Linked DNA regions of Pelodiscus sinensis. The protein of the gene in region 1 binds, or shares a complex with, the protein of each later gene. Links are inferred from orthologs where the notes say so. Each region holds a gene or a part of one and is shown in the gene's direction. Other genes may lie near its edges.

Evidence for each region.
Region 2: EIF4A3 (region 1) and RBM8A share a complex: the UniProt entries of both Homo sapiens proteins name them as parts of the ALYREF/THOC4-EJC-RNA complex. The link is inferred for Pelodiscus sinensis from reciprocal best matches to the Homo sapiens genes EIF4A3 and RBM8A.
Region 3: the proteins of EIF4A3 (region 1) and CASC3 are in contact, whole or in part, in a crystal structure (PDB 2J0U), measured with the Homo sapiens proteins. The link is inferred for Pelodiscus sinensis from reciprocal best matches to the Homo sapiens genes EIF4A3 and CASC3. Residues at the interface, in NP_055555.1 of Homo sapiens: Thr178, Arg179, Lys198, Ile201, Tyr202, Tyr205, Arg206, Tyr207, Leu208, Pro209, Pro210, Thr212, Lys231, Phe232; in NP_031385.2 of Homo sapiens: Arg217, Trp218, Glu219, His220, Asp221, Lys222, Phe223, Glu225.

Annotation. Positions count from the first base shown.
Region 1 is NC_134713.1:198,331,028-198,337,932, reverse strand, and holds the start of EIF4A3 (eukaryotic initiation factor 4A-III), read left to right. Parts: upstream 1-3,813; 5' UTR 3,814-3,865; coding exon 3,866-4,019; intron 4,020-6,905. UniProt on the Homo sapiens protein: ATP-dependent RNA helicase. Involved in pre-mRNA splicing as component of the spliceosome. Core component of the splicing-dependent multiprotein exon junction complex (EJC) deposited at splice junctions on mRNAs.
Region 2 is NC_134734.1:19,820,761-19,828,477, forward strand, and holds the start of RBM8A (RNA-binding protein 8A), read left to right. Parts: upstream 1-4,698; 5' UTR 4,699-4,790; coding exon 4,791-4,857; intron 4,858-7,717.
Region 3 is NC_134739.1:10,950,526-10,958,597, reverse strand, and holds the start of CASC3 (protein CASC3), read left to right. Parts: upstream 1-4,976; 5' UTR 4,977-5,096; coding exon 5,097-5,321; intron 5,322-7,917; coding exon 7,918-7,945; intron 7,946-8,072. UniProt on the Homo sapiens protein: Required for pre-mRNA splicing as component of the spliceosome. Core component of the splicing-dependent multiprotein exon junction complex (EJC) deposited at splice junctions on mRNAs.

The DNA of each region.
Region 1 (6,905 bases):
TTTAAAGTGCTACATAGTCCTGTATTTTGTCACTGCCTTGAGGCACCGTTCCCTGAAAGTGAAGCACTTGGGTGGCTGCCCAGGAGAGATTAAAATGCCCCCCAGCCAATTAACAGCGTGCCCCCAGCTGGCAGCAGGTATTCCTACTGGTGGTGCACATCTGCACGTGCCTTGGTGCACAGAACAAAATGTATTCTGCACACAGAGGGAAAACAGAGGGAACAGCGTCTTGACGCCCTTTGTTTGGAGGAAGGGGACGAGTGAAGGAGCAGTCTGGGCGGCATTTCCTGAGTGGGTGCACAGGAAAAGGGACAATGACACATGGGTCAGCATTATACGTGCAGCAAAGAATGTTTGGTCTCGGTATCTGTGCACGTTGCACCTCTTGTTCAGGGGCATCAAGGCAGAACCCGGTCTCAGTTAGAACTAAAAGAGGATCAGAGAGGGGCTCCCTCGCCCCAGCAGGATCTCCAGGGAATCGAGAGGGGGGCGTGGCAGGGCTGTCCAGGTTCCAAGTACAAATCAAAGACTGTGGTTTCCATTTCTGTTTTCAGCAGCGTCTTACTCACTTTATTCTCCAAGTAGCCTCACAGGAATCTGATCATTCACAGAGAGAACGATTACTCAAGGTGTGTAAGGGTAGCACAATCCAGGCCTTAAGAAGCTCTACACTCACGCTAAAGAAAACCAAATTAGCTGCAGGAATAAAGGAAACTCGCCTAGTTCTGCAGCTTCAGCCCCAACAGACAAGTAGAAGTGCCTGCCTTTCACGCTAGATGTGACAAGAGGGTAGCCAGCTTACACAAGATATTCACAATCAGCTGTGTACACTTCTCTGTAAAAAGCGCTGGACACTACCCAGCACACAAGCCCTACGGTCTGAACCTGCAGTGGGCTCCACGTGTGTGTGGACTCCTAATGAAAAGAAACCAAATGGACACTGGCTGATGTGATTTGTTCCAATAAATCAAGTCTTGGCCCTACCAACTTTGAAAGCTCCAGAATTCTACTGGCCTGCAGTCCTTCATATGGACTGTTCTACACACAACCCCTCCCTTCCCTTGTTCTACAGAGGCAACAGCCACTCTGGAGTTTGAAGTGCGAAGGAGCCAACGTTGTGCCAATGGGAGCGGCTCAGCGATGAGGCTACAAAGAAAATCAGTGCAAAATAGTCCAGTTGAAGAAATAAAGGGGAAAAAATGAAGCTGACAAATGCAAGGCAATGTAGAGTCCCTCCACCTTAGTGAGGTGACCCTCTGGCAGCAAGTGCCGTCAGACATACCCCCCCCCCCCCCAACCGGCATCACACCCACAAGGTGGGCTCCATTGGGCCAAGTTCATTTGTGCACTTTGCTATGTACTAGAGCCACACGCTCCAACTCTCCAGAGTCCCATCTGCACTGGGAGAAGGGGCCCTGGATACCAGTTCTCAGCTATTACGGACTCTCTGTAAATTTACAGACGGTTGGCAACCCTGGTACTGGGTCCTGCTGTGAGGGCGGGGACTGGACTGGATGAGTGTCCGTGATTCTATGTGACACATGACTTCAGTCAGTGTTAGAAATGGCTTAGGAGGGGCCAGATGGGACAAAATCATTCTCAGCGCAGTTACCAAAAGACTTGGACAGTTAAGCCACTTTTATTTCTGACTGGGGGGCACCTGCTGCTTATTTCATGTATCAGCGTCCTAGTGTAGATGGGTGCAGCACACCTTGCGGAACAGTGTTGGAACTGGAACACAAGCCACCTTTGGCCTTGCAGACAGTTCACAAATGACTGGAACGGACAAGCAGTCTCAGCTCTGGATCATTTCCTTTCACCCCCCGCTCATTACAGCTTGGCACTGCCAGGCAGGTCCTGGCTATCTGAGCACCCTTCGGCTGCGGCAAGGCCTAGGGAGAAAGGCAGAAGCAGCAGCATCGCAGCTCCGGAAGGAATGCGAGGGACCAGCAGAGAGCTAGACACAAACGAGCCAAGCAACTGTACTAAGCATGGCCAGACCTAGACACTATCACAGGCCCAGCGATGTTCCACAGACGCACAACCCACCCCAGAGAAACCCAGTTATCACGGGGAGAAAACCCAGCACCTCCCCTGGGGCGGCCGGCGCGGGCCCAGCACCCCGCACCCCCCCCCGCCCCCGGGGCGGCCGGCGCAGGCCCAGCACCCCGCACCTCCCCCCCGCCCCTGGGGCGGCCGGCGCAGGCCCAGCACCCCGCACCCCCCCACCCCCCGGGGCGGCCGGCGCAGGCCCAGCACCCCGCACCCCCCGGGGCGGGCCCAGCACCCCGCACCCCCCCACCCCCCGGGGCCGCCGGCGCGGGCCCAGCCCCCCGCAGCCCCCCAGCCCCCGGGGCGGGCCCAGCACCCCCCGCACCCCCCGGGGCAGGCCCAGCACCCCGCACCCCCCCACCCCCCGGGGCGGGCCCAGCACCCCGCACCCCCCCAGCCACCGGGGCCGCCGGCGCCGGCCCAGCCCCCCGCAGCCCCCCAGCCCCCGGGGCGGGTCCAGCAACCCCCGCACCCCCCCACCCCCCGGGGCGGCCGGCGCGGGCCCAGCACCCCCCCCCAGCCCCCGGGGCGGGCCCAGCACCCCGCACCCCCCCCAGCCCCCGGGGCGGGCCCAGCACCTCCCCCGGGGCGGCCGGCGCGGGCCCAGCACCCCGCACCCCCCCGGGGCGGGCCCAGCCCCCCACACCCCCCCCACCCCCCGGGGCGGCCGGCGCGGGCCCAGCACCCCCCCCACCCCCCGGGGCGGCCCAGCGCCCCGCACCCCCCGGGCCGGCCGGCGCGGGCCCAGCACCCCCCCCAACCCCCGGGGCGGGCCCAGCCCCCCGCACCCCCCCACCCCCCGGGGCGGGCCCAGCCCCCCGCACCCCCCCACCCCCCGGGGCCGGCCCAGCACCCCGCACCCCCCCAGCCCCCGGGGCCGGCCCAGCACCCCCCCCAGCCCCCGGGGCCGGCCCAGCACCCCCCCCCAGCCCCCGGGGCCGGCCCAGCACCCCGCACCCCCCGGGGCCGGCCCAGCACCCCGCACCCCCCGGGGCCGGCCCAGCACCCCGCACCCCCCGGGGCCGGCCCAGCACCCCCCGGGCCGGCCCAGCACCCCGCACCCCCCCACCCCCCGGGGCCGGCCCAGCACCCCGCACCCCCCCACCCCCCGGGCCGGCCCAGCCCCCCGCACCCCCCGGGCCGGCCCAGCACCCCCCCCAGCCCCCGGGGCCGGCCCAGCACCCCGCACCCCCCGGGGCCGGCCCAGCACCCCGCACCCCCCCAGCCCCCGGGGCCGGCCCAGCACCCCGCACCCCCCGGGCCGGCCCAGCACCCCGCACCCCCCCCACCCCCCGGGCCGGCCCAGCACCCCGCACCCCCCGGGGCCGGCCCAGCCCCCCGCACCCCGCGCAGGAAGCTGGAGGTGGAGCGGCCCCCCCGTGCCGGTGTCACACACCCGGGACAGACCTCAGCCGCGCGTGCCGGGCCCGTCCGCCTCAGCGCCCCTCCCCGTGGCGCCGGGACTCGCCTCCTGCCGGGCCCGCTCTGCTGCCTTTGTGCGCCCGGCCGGCCCCGAGCAGCCTGGGGGGGCGGGGCGGGGGGCGTAGCCCCTGGGGCCGCAGCGGGACCCGCCCCCCATGTGAATTGACGGGGCCAGGCCCCCCCGGGAGCGCTGGTGGTGACACGTGGGCACACGCCCCGCCCCTTGCCCCGCCCCGCGGCGGCCTCTGCTCTCCGCGCCCCGCCCCCGGCTCGTCCTAGGGCGGGAGGAGGAGCCAGCGCCTGGGGGCGGGGCCAGCTCCGCAGCGAGGCTCGCCTTCCCCGTCACGCGGCGCAGGCGCGCGGCAGAGGCTGGGCGCGAGGCGGAGCGGCCATGTCGGGCGCGGCGGGCGCGGCCCGCAAGCGGCTGCTGAAGGAGGAGGACATGACCAAGGTGGAGTTCGAGACGAGCGAGGAGGTGGACGTGACCCCCACCTTCGACACCATGGGGCTGCGCGAGGACCTGCTGCGCGGCATCTACGCCTACGGTGCGCGCCGGCCTCGCGGGAGGGGGAGGGGCCGGGCCTCGCGCGGGCTCCCCTCGCCGCGGCCGTTGCCCCGCGGGCCGCGCCTGCGCAGCGCTTCGCTCGCCGCGCGCCGAGCAGCCCTCGGGCCGGGGGGGAGGGGCGGTGGTTATTGGCCGGTTTTGAACTGGCCCTGGGCTGCCCCGGAAGGGGCGGGGCCTCAGGCGGAAGGGGCGGGGGCCAGGACACTTCTGTGCTCCCCTGATTGGCCTGGGGGTGCGTGAGCTGCCTCCCCCCCCCAACTGCCGGCTGTTCTGAAGGGCGGGGGGGAGGAGACTTGGCGCTGCCCCCAGGGGAGGGAGAGCAGGAAGGGCCTGGCTCCCCCCCCGCCCTGCACGGGGCACCCGGGACTAAGTGCGGAGCCCTCACTGGCCTGGGGCGCCCGCAGTCTCCCCCCGCCCCCCCCGCCCCTCAGGGCGTGCTCCCTCTGCCCCCAAGCCCTCACTGGCCTGGGGCGCCCGCAGTCTCCCCCCGCCCCCCCCCCACCACTCAGGGCGTGCTCCCTCTGCCCCCAAGCCCTCACTGGCCTGGGGCGCCCGCAGTCTCCCCCCGCCCCCCCCCCACCACTCAGGGCGTGCTCCCTCTGCCCCCAAGCCCTCACTGGCCTGGGGCGCCCGCAGTCTCCCCCCGCCCCCCCCCCACCACTCAGGGCGTGCTCCCTCTGCCCCCAAGCCCTCACTGGCCTGGGGCGCCCGCAGTCTCCCCCCGCCCCCCCCGCCCCTCAGGGCGTGCTCCCTCTGCCCCCAAGCCCTCACTGGCCTGGGGCGCCCGCAGTCTCCCCCCGCCCCCCCCCACCACTCAGGGCGTGCTCCCTCTGCCCCCAAGCCCTCATTGGCCTGGGGCGCCCGCAGTCTCCCCCCGCCCCCCCCGCCCCTCAGGGCGTGCTCCCTCTGCCCCCAAGCCCTCATTGGCCTGGGGCGCCCGCAGTCTCCCCCCGCCCCCCCCCCACCACTCAGGGCGTGCTCCCTCTGCCCCCAAGCCCTCACTGGCCTGGGGCGCCCGCAGTCTCCCCCCGCCCCCCCCGCCCCTCAGGGCGTGCTCCCTCTGCCCCCAAGCCCTCACTGGCCTGGGGCGCCCGCAGTCTCCCCCCGCCCCCCCCGCCCCTCAGGGCGTGCTCCCTCTGCCCCCAAGCCCTCACTGGCCTGGGGCGCCCGCAGTCTCCCCCCGCCCCCCCCGCCCCTCAGGGCGTGCTCCCTCTGCCTCCAAGCCCTCACTGGCCTGGGGCGCCCGCAGTCTCCCCCCGCCCCCCCCCACCACTCAGGGCGTGCTCCCTCTGCCCCCAAGCCCTCACTGGCCTGGGGCGCCCGCAGTCTCCCCCCGCCCCCCCCCCACCACTCAGGGCGTGCTCCCTCTGCCCCCAAGCCCTCACTGGCCTGGGGCGCCCGCAGTCTCCCCCCGCCCCCCCCCCACCACTCAGGGCGTGCTCCCTCTGCCCCCAAGCCCTCACTGGCCTGGGGCGCCCGCAGTCTCCCCCCGCCCCCCCCCACCACTCAGGGCGTGCTCCCTCTGCCCCCAAGCCCTCACTGGCCTGGGGCGCCCGCAGTCTCCCCCCGCCCCCCCCCACCACTCAGGGCGTGCTCCCTCTGCCCCCAAGCCCTCACTGGCCTGGGGCGCCCGCAGTCTCCCCCCGCCCCCCCCCACCACTCAGGGCGTGCTCCCTCTGCCCCCAAGCCCTCACTGGCCTGGGGCGCCCGCAGTCTCCCCCCGCCCCCCCCCACCACTCAGGGCGTGCTCCCTCTGCCCCCAAGCCCTCACTGGCCTGGGGCGCCCGCAGTCTCCCCCCGCCCCCCCCCGCCCCTCAGGGCGTGCTCCCTCTGCCCCCAAGCCCTCACTGGCCTGGGGCGCCCGCAGTCTCCCCCCGCCCCCCCCCACCACTCAGGGCGTGCTCCCTCTGCCCCCAAGCCCTCATTGGCCTGGGGCGCCCGCAGTCTCCCCCCGCCCCCCCCGCCCCTCAGGGCGTGCTCCCTCTGCCCCCAAGCCCTCATTGGCCTGGGGCGCCCGCAGTCTCCCCCCGCCCCCCCCCCACCACTCAGGGCGTGCTCCCTCTGCCCCCAAGCCCTCACTGGCCTGGGGCGCCCGCAGTCTCCCCCCGCCCCCCCCGCCCCTCAGGGCGTGCTCCCTCTGCCCCCAAGCCCTCACTGGCCTGGGGCGCCCGCAGTCTCCCCCCGCCCCCCCCCGCCCCTCAGGGCGTGCTCCCTCTGCCCCCAAGCCCTCACTGGCCTGGGGCGCCCGCAGTCTCCCCCCGCCCCCCCCGCCCCTCAGGGCGTGCTCCCTCTGCCTCCAAGCCCTCACTGGCCTGGGGCGCCCGCAGTCTCCCCCCGCCCCCCCCCACCACTCAGGGCGTGCTCCCTCTGCCCCCAAGCCCTCACTGGCCTGGGGCGCCCGCAGTCTCCCCCCGCCCCCCCCCACCACTCAGGGCGTGCTCCCTCTGCCCCCAAGCCCTCACTGGCCTGGGGCGCCCGCAGTCTCCCCCCGCCCCCCCCCCACCACTCAGGGCGTGCTCCCTCTGCCCCCAAGCCCTCACTGGCCTGGGGCGCCCGCAGTCTCCCCCCGCCCCCCCCCGCCCCTCAGGGCGTGCTCCCTCTGCCCCCAAGCCCTCACTGGCCTGGGGCGCCCGCAGTCTCCCCCCGCCCCCCCCCCCCGCCCCTCAGGGCGTGCTCCCTCTGCCCCCAAGCCCTCACTGGCCTGGGGCGCCCGCAGTCTCCCCCCGCCCCCCCCCACCACTCAGGGCGTGCTCCCTCTGCCCCCAAGCCCTCACTGGCCTGGGGCGCCCGCAGTCTCCCCCCGCCCCCCCCCACCACTCAGGGCGTGCTCCCTCTGCCCCCAAGCCCTCACTGGCCTGGGGCGCCC
Region 2 (7,717 bases), on another chromosome or scaffold:
GGGGTCTGTGTGTGGCCTGTGAGAGATTGTTTCTTTTCCAAGTGTTTGCTCGTGTGCATTGGAATGAGGTGCACGGATTCTGGAGCTTTTTTCCCCAGCAGTACCCTTCGGGGCAGCAGGGGCCCCCCTGGAGTGGCACCTGTATATCGGTGCATAAATACCCCTGCTAGCCCTCTCCTCCCTCAGTTCCTTCTTACTGCCCATGAGGGTAGCTGGAGCATCTTTGTGCTTTCCCAATTGCCCAACGTGCATATAGTTAGCATTGTAGATAACTATTTACACAACTAAGAACACAGGCTAAGTAATTAGTGTTAGCGGGTTCATCGCTTCTCTCTCCCTTCCTGGGGAGGGGATGCCAGGTCCACAGGGTTTTAAACCTTGTGCGACTTGTTTGAAGGCCATGCCCTGCAGGGACCCCCCCACAACTCTAGCCTGAAGTGTCTGGGGGTGGGCCACCGTGCAGAGTCTTGTAAAATCTGTAGATTTGTAAATCTGTTTCAATCCCTGCACCAAAAGGGAATGAGATTCCTACTTAAAACTGCTCTGCGCTGCAGCCGGTAGCAGAATCAGCACCGATAGTGCGAGTCTTTCATGGCACGGATACGCCCTACAGCTCCGCAGAAGACCATGGCTCTGAGGCACCAATCCCAATCCTCGGTGCCAAAGAAAAGGAGATTGCACAGGGGAGATCCCCGCTGATGCATAGGCACAACTGGTGGCACCGAGACGTAAGGCCGTTGAAGGGTTGACCCTCTCGGCACCTGGCTGCTCCTGGTCCTTCTAGACACCAGTTGAGCTCAGTGCGCCCAGGATTAAGTTTAAGAAGGACAAATGCAAAGTACCCCACTTAGGAAGGAACAATCCGTTTCACACGTTGGCTACGTCTACACTGGCATGATTTTCCGGAAATGCTTTTAACGGAAAAGTTTTCCGTTAAAAGCATTTTTGGAAAAGCACATCTAGATTGGCAGGATGCTTTTTCACAAAAGCACTTTTTGTGGAAAAGCATCTGTGGCCAATCTAGACACAGTTTTCCACAAAAAATCCCCGATCGCCATTTTTGCGATCGGGGCTTTTTTGCCGAAAACAGTACTATGCTGTCTACACTGGCCCTCTTGCGCAAAGGTCTTTCGGAAAAAGACTTACCCGAACGGGAGCAGCATAGTATTTCCGGAAAAGCACTGATGATTTTATAGGAGATCGTCAGTGCTTTTGCGGAAATTCAAGCAGCCAGTGTAGACAGCTGGCAATTTTTTCTGCAAAATCACATGATTTTGCGGAAAAACTTGCCAGTCTAGACACAGCTGTTCAGAATGGGAAGCGACTGTCTAGGAAGGAGTCCTGCAGAAAGGGATCTAGGGGGCATAGTGGACCACAAGCTAAATATGAGTGGACAGTGGGATGCTGTTGCAAAAAAAGCAAACGTGATTCTAGGAGGCATTAACAGGAGTGTTGTGAGCAAGACACAAGAAGTCATTTATCCACTCTACTCTGTGCTGATTGTGTCTCAATTGGAGTATCGTGTTCAATTCTCAGCACCACATTTCAGGGAAGATGTGGAGAAATTGGACAAAGTAGCAAAAATGATGAAAGGTCTAGAAAACATGACCTATGAGGGAAGACTAAAAGAATGGGGCTTGTTTAGTTTGGAAGACAGAAGACTGAGAGGGGAGGGGACATGAAAGCAATTTTCAAGTATCTAAAAGGGTGTTATAAAGAGGAGGGAGAAAAATTGTTCTCTTTGACCCCTGATGCTAGGACAATGGGCTTAAATTGCAGCAAAGGAGGTTTAGATTGGACATTGGGGAAAAAGCTTCCTAACTGTCAGGGTGGTTACACACTGGAGTAAATTGCTGAGGGAGGTTGTGGAATCTCCATCACAGGAGATATTTACGAGCAGGTTACACAAACACCCTGTCAGGGATGATCTAGATGGTGCTTGATTCTGTGGTGAGGGCAGGGGACTGGACTTTGACCGCTGAAGGTCCCTTCTAGTTCTAGTATTCTAGGATTCCCATCACTGTAGTAAATTTATCCTGTGAAGGCACTGTAGCTGGGCTGCCAAAAGAATTCTGCTGTCATCCTTCCTTGTCTATACCAGGACGTAGGATGGGTTAACTATGTCTTGTGTGTGTGAGTGAATTTTTCACACCTTTTAAGGAATGTACCTCAGCCTATGTTTTGTGTGTAGATCAAGCCTAAGTTTTACTGCCTTGTATCCCAGACATCCGTAAATCAAAAACAGCTTTATTCTACAGGCAGTCCCCGGATTACATGGATCCGACTTACATTGGATTCCTACTTACAAACGGGGTGAGGCAACCCCGCACTAGCTGCTTCCCCTCAGCAGACCAGGGAGACGCGGAGCTAGCGCCCCCCCCCCAGCAGACCAGGGAGACACGGAGCTAGCGCCCCCCCCCAGCAGACTAGGGAGACGCGGAGCGGCTTTTCTCAGCAGACACCTCAGCTTGAGAATAAAGGACTGAGGGAAGTGAGGTGTGGGAGAATAAAACTGAGCTCTGGAGAAATGTTTGGCTAGAGTTTCCCCTACAATATGTACCAGTTCCGACTTACATACAAATTCAACTTAAGAACAAACCTACAGTCCCTATCTTGTACGTAACCCGGGGACTGCCTGTATTTCTAGCACTCCCCTCTCTCTGAGTGTGATAACCAGCTTGGACATAATCAACATGGCTTGCATCCAAGGATTGTGGGCAGTTGAAGAGCTGCCCTGGGTGTTGCTAAACCAACCTTGGTTTAAAGGTTTCTGAAGAGACGATGTTTGCTTTGCATTGCCCTCCCTGGAGTGGGAAGGAGGCAAAATGTCACAACGTACCAACCTGCTGCAAAAGCAGGCAACAACCTGCTTCCAGTGGGACATTTGTTTTCACTCTCAAAAAGTAGGTGAGGTAGCCTCATTTGTGATTAGATTCCCTGTGAGGCTTGTTTTTTTTAAATCTAGAAGAAGGGGACAGCCAGGCTCATCCCACTGGCAGATGCAGCATCTGCTGCACGTAGACCAGATGCTGTCCAAAACCACTTGGCCTTTGTGAGCTGTTGGAGAAAGGATTGTAACTTTGGCAGTCCCCTGTGTTAGGATAAGATGAGATCTCCATATGTGGCCATTTCAGATGAGAGCTGAGAAATTAAACCACCAGAGCCACACTGCAGTAGTGGGTGAAGTTTGCTTCACCTGTAAATGGCCAATTTTGAGTTTAGGGAATCACAGGGGGGGTGCTAGCTTGTATCAAATGAGTTGGGGGATGGGGGTGGTTCTCCTAGTTTTCACTAAACAGGTGTCCCTATCAGCAAAACCGTGCACGGCAATTAGTTGTCACCTCTGCCCATGCAGTGAATGGCTGGGGGAAAGATCATCCAAGACAGTGGTTCTCAACCAGGAGTCTTCCAGGAGACGCATCAACTCTTCTAGAGAGCTCCTTAGTTTTACAACAGGCTACATAAAGAAGCACCAGCGAGGCCAGTACAAACTCTAATTTCATACAGACAGTGACTTGTTTGTACTACTCTTATGTGCTACGTACAGTACAGAAATAGAAATGAGTACAATATTTATCTTCCAATATTTATATGATTGTCAGCAATTTTTTCAATAATTGTGTGGCTGTGATGCTTGTGTATTTTTTGTCTGATTTTTGTAAGCCAGTTGTTTTTAAGTGAGGTGAAACGGGGGGGGGGGGGGGGGAAGCAACTGAAATCAGACTCCTGGAAGAGGTACAGGGATTGGGAAAGGCTGTCACCAGTCCAACTAACACCCCTTAGGGTGGAGTAATGTACTGGAGAAATATGTACTGATGTTTAGGGTTGCCAGATGGTTTCAACAAAAATACTGGACACATTTGACATTATATCACAATCTACATTACATCTGATTTAGAAAATACCGGACATTTATATTTTCTCATTTGTATTTTCTCAATTTGTTTCCCAAACGGAAAGCTCAAATACTGGACTGTCCAGTTCAAAACCAGACAGGTGGCAACCCTAATGATGTTGCTTTCACTGTCCTTAATCTGTGGATGGAGGAGAAACCTCTGTATTTGAGCTTTTCCTTTTAGGGATTCTCTTTTTTGTACACCTCAACTGCAGCATTATCGCAATGCGCTGGGCTCTCTAATGTCAACGTGGTGTGTCCAGCTGAAGGCGCTGCCGTGTTCCCAGGGCGGCCATTCCAGCAATGACAGATGAAAATGGGTGGAAATACAGCAGCCGTCTGCCCTGCCCCACGTGGGCATGTGAGGGGGTCACGGGAGCGCGAGCGGAGGGGATGCTACCAATGTGAGCAGGCTAGGTACCATGGGGGGCTTGCCGGAGGGGGGGTTTGCTGGGGGTTTGATGCATCAGAGGGGGGAGCCCCAAGGGGATGGGAGCAGGGAAGTAGGAAGGAGACAGTCTCCAAATGGGGGACAAGTCCAAGGTGCAGCTGAGGAGGGGTCTGGCCTGGCTGCTGTGAGACAGCAGCTGGCTGCTACTGGGAGAGGGCGCAGCATGAGCCTATCTCCTGCCCTTCTCAAAATGGCGCCGAGAGGGCGAAGAACATCCTGACCTTACTAATATGGCGGCTCCCAGCAGGGAGGAGGACGTGACTCTACCAAGATGGCGGCCGCCCATGGCCGACGCGTGCCCTTCCCTAGATGGCGGTCTCCCGGCAGTTACCTTTTGCTGGAGAGGCACTTCCGGCCCCTCCCCTTTCCCGCCGTGCAGCGCGGCCTCGGCTCGGGTCTTCCCGTCCCTTCTGTGGCAGCGGCGGGCAGCGGAGCGGCGGCAAGATGGCGGACGTGCTGGATCTTCACGAGGCGGGCGGCGAGGACTTCGCCATGGACGAGGATGGGGACGGTACCGAACCCCCCCCGGCCCCGCCCAACTGGGCCGAGTCTGGGTCCGACCCCCCCCCCCGGCCCGCCCGGATCTATCGGAGCTGGAATCTTCCCCCCCCCCCCCCCCCCAGTGGTAGCGCCCCCCCCCCCACCGCTATTTCGGGTGGTGCGGACCCAGAACTCGGGGCGGGGCTGGGGCTGCGCTGGAGGCCCCGCCCCCTCGCCCCGCCCCATCCTGCCTGGTTCTGAGTCCAGCGTCGCCCCCCTCCCCCCCCCCCCCCCACGCCCGGCTCTGACCCCGCCTCCCCCCGGGGTCGCTCTAGAGCAGCGTCTCTCAGCCTGTGTTTATAAAATACCCCAATGCACTCGCCCCGCCCCCAGAACCCCCCTCCCCTGCTCTAACCCGATACCCCGCCCCCAGAGCCCCCCCTCCCCTGCTCTAACCCGATACCCCGCCCCCAGAGCCCCCCCTCCCCTGCTCTAACCCGATACCCCGCCCCCAGAGCCCACCTCCCCTGCTCTAACCCGATACCCCGCCCCCAGAGCCCCCCTCCCCTGCTCTAACCCGATACCCCGCCCCCAGAGCCCCCCTCCCCTGCTCTAACCCGATACCCCGCCCCCAGAACCCCCCTCCCCTGCTCTAACCCGATACCCCGCCCCCAGAGCCCCCCTCCCCTGCTCTAACCCGATACCCCGCCCCCAGAGCCCCCCTCCCCTGCTCTAACCCGATACCCCGCCCCCAGAGCCCACCTCCCCTGCTCTAACCCGATACCCCGCCCCCAGAGCCCCCCTCCCCTGCTCTAACCCGATACCCCGCCCCCAGAACCCCCCTCCCCTGCTCTAACCCGATACCCCGCCCCCAGAGCCCCCCTCCCCTGCTCTAACCCGATACCCCGCCCCCAGAGCCCCCCTCCCCTGCTCTAACCCGATACCCCGCCCCCAGAGCCCCCCTCCCCTGCTCTAACCCGATGCCCCGCCCCCAGAGCCCCCCCTCCCCTGCTCTAACCCGATGCCCCTCCCCCAGAGCCCCCCCTCCCCTGCTCTAACCCGATACCCCGCCCCCAGAGCCCCCCTCCCCTGCTCTAACCCGATACCCCTCCCCCAGAGCCCCCCCTCCCCTGCTCTAACCCGATACCCCGCCCCCAGAGCCCCCCTCCCCTGCTCTAACCCGATACCCCGCCCCCAGAGCCCCCCTCCCCTGCTCTAACCCGATGCCCCGCCCCAAGAGCCCCCCTCCCCTGCTCTAACCCGATGCCCCGCCCCCAGAGCCCCCCTCCCCTGCTCTAACCCGATGCCCCGCCCCCAGAGCCCCCCCTCCCCTGCTCTAACCCGATGCCCCGCCCCCAGAGCCCCCCTCCCCTGCTCTAACCCGATGCCCCGCCCCCAGAGCCCCCCTCCCCTGCTCTAACCCGATGCCCCGCCCCCAGAGCCCCCCTCCCCTGCTCTAACCCGATGCCCCGCCCCCAGAGCCCCCCTCCCCTGCTCTAACCCGATGCCCCGCCCCCAGAGCCCCCCTCCCCTGCTCTAACCCGATGCCCCGCCCCCAGAACCCCCCCTCCCCCGCTCTAACCCGATGCCCCGCCCCCAGAACCCCCCCTCCCCCGCTCTAACCCGATACCCCGCCCCCAGAACCCCCCCTCCCCCGCTCTAACCCGATGCCCCGCCCCCAGAGCCCCCCTCCCCCGCTCTAACCCGATGCCCCGCCCCCAGAGCCCCCCTCCCCTGCTCTAACCCGATACCCCGCCCCCAGAACCCCCCTCCCCTGCTCTAACCCGATACCCCGCCCCCAGAGCCCCCCTCCCCTGCTCTAACCCGATACCCCGCCCCCAGAGCCCCCCTCCCCGGCTCTAACCCGATACCCCGCCCCCAGAACCCCCCTCCCCTGCTCTAACCCGATGCCCCGCCCCCAGAGCCCCCCTCCCCTGCTCTAACCCGATGCCCCGCCCCCAGAGCCCCCCTCCCCTGCTCTAACCCGATACCCCGCCCCCAGAGCCCCCCTCCCCTGCTCTAACCCGATACCCCGCCCCCAGAGCCCCCTTCCCCTGCTCTAACCCGATACCCCGCCCCCAGAGCCCCCCTCCCCTGCTCTAACCCGATGCCCCGCCCCCAGAGCCCCCCTCCCCTGCTCTAACCCGATGCCCCGCCCCCAGAGCCCCCCTCCCCTGCTCTAACCCGATGCCCCGCCCCCAGAGCCCCCCCTCCCCTGCTCTAACCCGATGCCCCGCCCCCAGAGCCCCCCCTCCCCTGCTCTAACCCGATGCCCCGCCCCCAGAGCCCCCCTCCCCTGCTCTAACCCGATGCCCCGCCCCCAGAGCCCCCCTCCCCTGCTCTAACCCGATGCCCCGCCCCCAGAGCCCCCCTCCCCTGCTCTAACCCGATGCCCCGCCCCCCAGAGCCCCCCTCCCCTGCTCTAACCCGATGCCCCGCCCCCAGAGCCCCCCTCCCCTGCTCTAACCCGATGCCCCGCCCCCAGAGCCCCCCTCCCCTGCTCTAACCCGATACCCCGCCCCCAGAGCCCCCCTCCCCTGCTCTAACCCGATGCCCCGCCCCCAGAGCCCCCCTCCCCTGCTCTAACCCGATGCCCCTCCCCCAGAGGCCCCCTCCCCTGCTCTAACCCGATACCCCGCCCCCAGAGCCCCCCTCCCCTGCTCTAACCCGATACCCCGCCCCCAGAGCCCCCCTCCCCTGCTCTAACCCGATACCCCGCCCCCAGAGCCCCACCTCCCCTGCTCTAACCCGATACCCCGCCCCCAGAACCCCCCTCCCCTGTTCTAACCCGATGCCCCGCCCCCAGAGCCCCACCTCCCCTGCTCTAACCCGATGCCCCGCCCCCAGAGCCCCCCTCCCCTGCTCTAACCCGATGCCCCTCCCCCAAAGCC
Region 3 (8,072 bases), on another chromosome or scaffold:
ATTCAGTCCTGTGAATCTTTACCCTTATGGACATTCTTACTCCTTGACGGTTTTCTCCACGCCTCTGTATCTTTCCCATCATTCTGGTTTTTTTGTCACAAAATTCTTTACCTGGCTGACTAACTGTGGTTTATTTATTTCTCCCCCCTCCTGCTTTTCTTACCATCAAGTTCTCAAGCTTTATGCTGGAGCAGCAGTGCTGGAAGCTCAGGCCGTCTGCCTAAACTTCATCAGCTGCTGTGGCCACTGCAGCTCATAAGAGGCCTTGTGACGGTTGAGAAGCCTAAAAACAGGCCTGCCTTGATACCTGTCCCGCCTGCGAGCCTGCCTGGGCGTTGGCTCAGCACAGGGTGCGCATCACTTTTCTGAAGCTGACGTTTATTTTCTCAGACATGCAGCTGAGAGCTCCGAGCGAGGGAAACCAGCAGGCCAAACCTTGCCTGGCAAGAACTTGCAGATGGGACCAGCAGGCAAGCTTATCACGCTGTCACTTTGAAGTTCTGTGGTGTAAAGAACCTACCTACGAGGAGTGTAAAGTCAGCTGCATTTTCCTCTTGCCTGGCAGGTCAGGCTGCCAGTACGGTGCCTGTGTTGTGCTAGATAGGTGATTTGGTTTTAAATAAATGAGTGAACCTAACTTTATGAATACCCACTTCCCTGAGAGAGGCTGGCAGAGGGTCCTGAATGTGCTGTGTCTCGCCAAGCATGACTGGAGTGAACGCTGCATCCCATTGTTGCCATGAGACACACCTGGTTAGTTAACCTGGGTCAGAAATCAACTCTCTGCACTTTTCTGTAGCGAGACTCTCCTTGCGCCATGGCCAGTGCGTAAACACTTCTCCAGATGAGCCTATTTGCCAGCTGCTCTGCCGGGTTCTAGACCAACTGGCTATAGGGGGTGGGAAACGTTTTTGATGGTGAAAACAGAATTCGAGACGCACAATGGTGATTTGTTTTCCTTTCAGTGTTTTAAGGACAGCAGTGGCTGGCAACTCGCGTATCTTGTCAGACGCTTGGATTGGCTAGAGAAAATTAGAGTGGTCCCTATGCTTTAGCTCTAGTAATTTGCTTCCTTTACGAAATGAGCCTTCATTGTTGTTCTACACTAGTGGTGATACCAAATGCTCTGGGGCAGGATTCTCCATCACCTTTCAGACTTAACAGCAGAATGGAGTCAAGGCAGATGGCCGGGGAATGTTTGGCTGCTACAGAGAGCATGCCTGTTACTCTCGTGCACAAGGCTTGCTTGTCAGATTGCTCCACCGTTCTTGTCCTACCTCTGACATGTGTGCGGCTGGGGGAGGAGCTAACGTCATTTCTGAAAATGTTCGTGGGCCAGGGAAGAAATGTTCCATTCTGATTGTTCCTTTGGAGTTGTTAGTGTTGTCTAAGGCCAGCAATCTTCTCTCCCTGCTTTGGTTCAAATGGCTATAAATAGTAATGCACAAATACAAAATGTGGCGTTTTTTTCCCTCCTTTTCCCTGTGAACTGGGATGTATTCTTATGCAATTTGGGAGAGAGGTTGATTCTTACAACACGGCAGTGGGCCGTGCTAGGGTTCCTGTAGGAATGGTGTTTGAAAGACGGTCTGAAATCTACATGAAAGGGGCAAATCTTTTGAGACATGGACCCTGGTACCACATAGCCTGAAACATTAGGGCTATGCACTGCGCTTTTTTTTTTTTTTTTTTTTTAAATAAGGCTGTTCTTGAGTGTCCTGCTTTCGCATGATAGCGTGTGTTCTTAATGGATTTCTGTGCAATTAGGAGCCAACATGTTAAATGGGCAAATATTAAGCTTGAGCCTTGTTTTCTTTCCTTGATGTTGTCTCTTTCAGGTCTGCATCAGGTGGGTTTTGCATTCTGGTTATACCCTGCATTCGTGGCTTTTCAGGGGTCAGAACACTTACGTCCCAGTGACAGCTAGCTCTGAGAGGTATCTGCTGGTAGCTGCTTGACCTCAGACTAAAGTCCCAGTGGTCCTGATTTCCCAGGGCACACCTGGTTTTTAAACTCCAGACAGGCAGCCATGTTTTATAAAAATGATCTTTCATAGATATCTATCCAGCAGTCGTTAGCTACAGATGGGGTGTGTGGGCAGGGAGTAGGTTGGAGGGAAAGTACCAAGTTAAATTTTCAGTGAGTGTTGGCATGGGAAAAAGTCTTATTTCTCCCAATATGGGGTGCAACACTGTGAAACTCAATCTGCAATGGAAGGCCCTGCAATTCCCTATTAGAACCGTTCTTTGGTTTAAAACCTTGCTTTCTTTAACCAAGTTTAAGCTAGTGTAAAAAAAAAAAAATCTTAAATACAATTAAAAGCTTGTCTGTATTCTTCAGCCTTGTTTTATGGCCATTTGACACCTAGTTGTCTGTAATGCATACTTTTGATACCATTTCTAATGTAAAATTGGTCGTCTTGTAAATATCTTATAAAAAACGTTCAGTTGTAAATAAACTTGTGGCTGTTAATTTTTTGAATTTCTGCTTCAGTTTGTTAGAATTAACAGTGTTACTGGGGAGTATTAAACAATTCTGCTTGTATGTTTAAAAAATTTAAACAAATCGAGATTTTTTTTTTTACAATAAAATAGAAAAAAAACCACGTACATGTTGTTGTCATGTTTGTCTCAAACCCTTTGCATATGTCTTGTTTAGAAACGTTCTCTCAGCCAATAAAAATATAGCTTGCTTCTCTCTTGCATGCTTGGTGCTGTCCATAGGAATGGTGTTACCAGCGTTAGAATTTTTAACCAGCTGCCATAGCTTGCTTAGAACTCTGAACTGGAAGAACAGTCTACCCTTAATGCCTTGTGTCTGTCTCTCTCAAAAAAACCAAAACAAAACTACATTTTAAGGTTCTTCAGTCTGAATAGCTGAAACCCTAACCAGCCAGCACTCAATTCCATAGCTAAATATGTGGGAGCCACTATTCAAATGTATTTTAAAGAAACACTTAATATTTCCCAAGACTGTTTTTCTGACTCCAATTTGCTCTGAAAGGCTTCTCAGAGAGTCTGTTTTGGCTCTTTAAAAACGTCAATGCAGATCGTTCCTGGGTCTGGGTCAGTGTGCGGCAAGTGCTGAAGGCCTGTTGCCAAATGCTTGCTTAATAAATTCTGTAGGGAGCAATAATGCTGGAGCCACACGAAGGTGCTTGCTCCTAGTTCATTTTTTTTGTTGCTTTCTTTACAAATCTTTAAGCGAGTGGGTGGATGAAAAGGAAAAGTCACTGCTGCTCATAGATAACAGTTGAGAGAAGGGCGTACCTCGGGAGCTGAAATACTAAATGCAGGAAGAAATAGATGAACCTATTGTGGAATGTATAGAGAATCACCTTACTTTACATAAAGAGAACAAGTGTGTTGGGTAGATAACCGTGCAAGGATGGATGTGTGGTCAATGCACCTCTGTCTTGTTCCAGTGATGGCAAGCAACATGATTTGTCTTCAGAGGGAGGTGAAGTGTTGTGCCAGTCACTTCACCTCTCTGTGCTTGTGTATGATGTGGATATGACATTGACTCCCATTTATCCTTGAGGCTTCGGGTCTTAGGGTAGTAGCCAAACTCCCTGGCTGTGTCTACACGGGCAAGTTATTCCGGAAAATCAGCCACTTTTCCGGAAAAACTTGCCAGCTGTCTACACTGGCCACTTGAATTTCTAGAAGAGCACTGACGATCTAATGTAAAATCATCAGTGCTTTTCCGGAAAAACTATGCTGCTCCTGTTCGGGCAAAAGTCTTTTTCCAGAAAACTGTTCTGGAAAAGGGCCAGTGTAGACAGCACAGTAGTGTTTTCCGCAAAAAAGCCCCAATTGCGAAAATGATGATCGGGGCTTTTTTGCGGAAAAGCGCGTCTAGATTGGCCACGGACACTTTTCCGGCAAAAGTGCTTTTCCAGAAAAGCGTCCTGCCAATCTAGACGTGCTTTTCTGGAAATACTTTTAACGGAAAACCTTTTCCGTTAAAAGCATTTCCGGAAAATCATGCCAGTGTAGACGTAGCCCCTCTGATCACAGGCATCTAAATACCTTTGAATTTCTACTGGAGTCGATGGGAATTTAGACACCTAACTACCTATGAGGAATAGGGCCCAAGTTATCAGGTTTTCCTTTCTGGAAAAGGACACACAGGGCAAGCTTAAACCACAGCAAATAGTCCTTCAGCACCATAATTCGAGACTAACAAAAACGTAGATGGTGGTATGAGCTTTTGTGGGCACAAGAAGTGGGTTGTGCATACACAAGCTCATGATATCACCTGTAGTCTCGAGGGTGCTACAGGACTATTTGGTGGTGGTTTTTTTCGGTTGAATACGACTACCCCTCTGCATACAGGACAAGGTAAGGAGTGTGAAATTGAGCTACCCCCTTGTGGAAAAACTTAGGTGCATGCAAGAAACAAATCATGTAGAGTCCTGCATAGGTTTGCCAGTTGTCCTGTTTTTGTCCAGACAGTCCGGTAATTGCGTCTTCTCTTGGGTTTAAAAAAAAACAACAGAAAATACTGCAGGAGTAAAATACTGTTTTTGGCTCAACAAATTTGGGTGCCTGGGTCCTTCCCCCCCCTTCTTTTTTTTTTTTCAACCAATTTCCCCCCCACACACACCTTCCTCCCCCCGACAGGTTCTGGATTTTTTGTGAAAGTATCTGACCCCCCTAGCCCTGCAGAAAGGCGCAGGCCTGGCTCTCCCCTGGTCCCAGCTGTGCCCCCGTGTGCTGAGCCAGCCCGGCCCCAGGCCCAGTGCTCGGCTCAATCGTGGAAATGGCCTGCAATCCGCTTCAAGCAAGGAAATGACGTCACCTGGACGGTAACATGACGTCATCGTGCGGCGACGGCACGACGTCACAGCCGCGCCAGGCAGGGGTGGGGCCGCCCGCGCTGAGCGGCTCCCTTGAGGGCGGGGCAGGCACTCCGGCTCTCTGACAAAGCCTCGCGGGAGCCGCGGAGCGGGCTGCCCGGAAGTGGGACTTGTGACCCCTCCCCTCTCGGGCGGGGCCGGAAGCGGGAGGCGCCGCGGTGCGCCCCTGGGAGCTGTAGTCCCGGCGCCGTCCCGTCGGGCCCTGCGCGCCCGCCCCCGCACAGCCCCCCCCAAGATGGCGGACAGGCGGCGGCAGCGGGCCTCCCAGGACAGCGAGGACGAGTCCGACTCGGCCGCCTCCGACAGCGCCGACTCCGCGGCCGGCGGGGCCCGCTCCGGCTCGCCCGCCTCGCCCCCCCGGCCGGCCCGGGGCGCTGCCGGGGACCTGCCCGCGGGGGGCCGGGGCCGCGCGGCCGAGAGCGCGCCCGGGGCCGCCAAGAGCCCGCAGGAGTCCGAGTGTGTGAGTGGGGGCGGGGCGACAATGGGGGGGGGTCTGAGGGATGGGAGGGGCCTGCCCCCCCTCCCCGCGGGGGGGTTCCCCATTGGCAGGGGTCGGCCCGCGCGCGTCGGGGGGGGCCTGTCCCGCGTGGTTGGGGGGGGCTCGCTTGTGCACAGGTCGGGCTGGCTGAGCCCCCGGGGCGGGGCCGTCAGGGGAGGTGGGAGCGGCCAGAGTGTTGCATGTGGCTGGGGGGGGGCGTTTGCCACCCAAACGTAATATCCCCCCCCCTCCGCGGCTTGACCCTGGGGAGAAACTCATTGGGGCCGATGTCTTCGAATTCCGTTGTCTGCTCGTCGCCGCGGTGGCGGCAGGGCCGTGGGGGAAACCGCTTTGTGTGACTGAGCCTCCTCTCTCGCTTGTTGTTTTTAGTCACTTTCCTTTTGCAGTGCGAAGCGCGTGGGCAGGCCGCAAGCTTACCGGCCCCGCATCTTAAAAATCTTGCTAAATTGCCCTCCTCCAGACCAGTAAGGCGGACGTATTTAGAGAGGAATTGATTAGGAGCCCTGGATTCCACCTCCCCGCTCAGCCCCTTATCAAAAGGATCTCGGCAGCGCAGTGGGATTTAGCTTTATTAATCCGTGTCCAAAGATCTTATCAACACACTCCTCTCCTGTCCTTTCCTCGTGCACATGCTACAGAATTTACTTCAATCCTTGATACAGACAGGCAATGTAACAAAGGGCAAAAGAGTATGTGCCAAGTGACCCTCCTTGCCACATCTTTATACATTACAGTAGGTCTGGAACTACCGTTACATTGACTTGAAAAATTCTGCATCAATAATCTTTTTCATTCCAGGACCACATCTTTCCTCATCTGTCTTTCCACTGTGGCAATACAGATTATGCAGACTCTGGTGTTCAAAATGAGTTAGTGCAGGTGGTTTGGGGCTGGACTTTTAGATGAATATCTCCATCTGGTCACTCTGCAGCCCTTTCTCGTGAAACTTTTGAGCTAGTTAGCAAAGCTTAATTTGGTCGTCAAGACAATGGCTCAGCCAATACATTTCTCAGATTTCAGAGAAATGTAAAACAATCAGGATGGTTGAAATGGGTTCTGTCAGGTAAAATGATGTTGAGTGAAAGGGTGTTAAAATTGAATCTTGTGTTTTCATAGATTGTCAGCTGAATGAATGCCACAGTGTTTATAAGTTTCAGTGACAGTGTAAATCTCAGCTGAAAATACTCCTTGCCTATGCCTTTGGTGGACCTAGCATTTCCCTCTCTGGTTTCTTGTTTCTGACATGTTTACAGACTTTCTTCTTTGTGTTTGTCATTGACTCTTCATGGGCAGGCCAGTACTATTACCCTAGAGCAGGGGTGGGGAACCTTTTTTGAGTCAGGGGCTGCTGACCCATGGAAAAATCAGCCACACACAAGTAAGCAGTGGAAATCCTCTCTCCCCCACTGGGCCCCCAGCCTAGTAGATTGTGTGTGCTCTGTCCCCACAGAGAGGCTTGGATTGGAGCACCAGCACAGGCTCCCCAATGTTAGGGGGAACCCTGAGTCTCAGTGTCCAGATCCAGGCAAGCCAAGGGCCACATCTGGCCCCCAGGCCTGAGGTTCCCCACCCCTCGTAGACTTTTCTGAAGTCTTTTAGGATAATGCTCTGCCCATCTGTCCAGTTTAATTGTTCTTCCTGTGTAGTTTATAGCCGTGTAGCTTATTCCCTCGGACCTCTTACACCATGTTCCTATTCTGCTTTCGGGTATATTTGTAGTTCACCTGTTTTTGCTTTTAGCCTTTACATTATTATATACACAGTTTTTTAATTTTTGAGCATGAGCCTATTTTATTAAATTCCTTTAGTCTGATACTCTGGTTCTTTTCCAGAATTTACCTCTGTGATCTGATCTCCTCCTCCAGTTCAGTCTTACTCTCTATCCCATAAAGACAGACGTTAACATTTATGTTTCTGACATCTGTAGCAGCTGTGAGAGTTTGGTGCTCCTCAGCACATGGAGGCTGGGGAAAGCCACTAATTTAAATAATCCATAAGAATGGATTAGACCAAAGGTCTGTCTAGCCAAGGAGTCTGTCTTCAGGCTGTGGCCAAAGCCCAGGTGTCCCAGAGGGAATGAACAGAACAGGTAATCATCCCGTCACCCATTCCCAGCTTTCAGCAATCCCCCAGTAACTTTCTGAGCCAGCAGTCTGATTCTAGTTTTATTTTATTAAGGGAGCTCATCATTTCTGTGTAGGCCTCTTTCCCCTAAAGATCAGTACTGACTAACCACACTTTAAACCCCTCCTCTCCATACTGCCTTTTCTTGCCTGGAGGACTTGAATTTCCCTCAGTCTGGCCGGCCTTGTGCATGCAACTGGATGCATTTTCAGGAAAACTCTTGTCCAAGTTCTTAGATCCATGTTTGTTCTAAATGTAAGCTTCCAGGATGACTCTCCTGTGTGCCAGGGTCACAGGCATCTCCCCAACCCGGCTCTTGTCAAAAGCTTGTCTAGATGTCTAGTGAGGTCACATCTGATAGGCAAGTCACTGAAATTTTCCTGGAAATTTTACACATCCAGTAACATGCTTGTGTGTCTCTCTCTTTCAATAGGAAAGTGAAGATGGCATTGAAGGAGACGGTGAGTAATAAGTATCTTTGGGCTGTCCTGGGAGGGAGAAGGGAAGCTATGAAAGCACAGAATCGTTAGCTATTAAAAATGCATACTCTGAGGCCATTTTGAAAGGCCAGTTGTCTGGTCCCCTGCT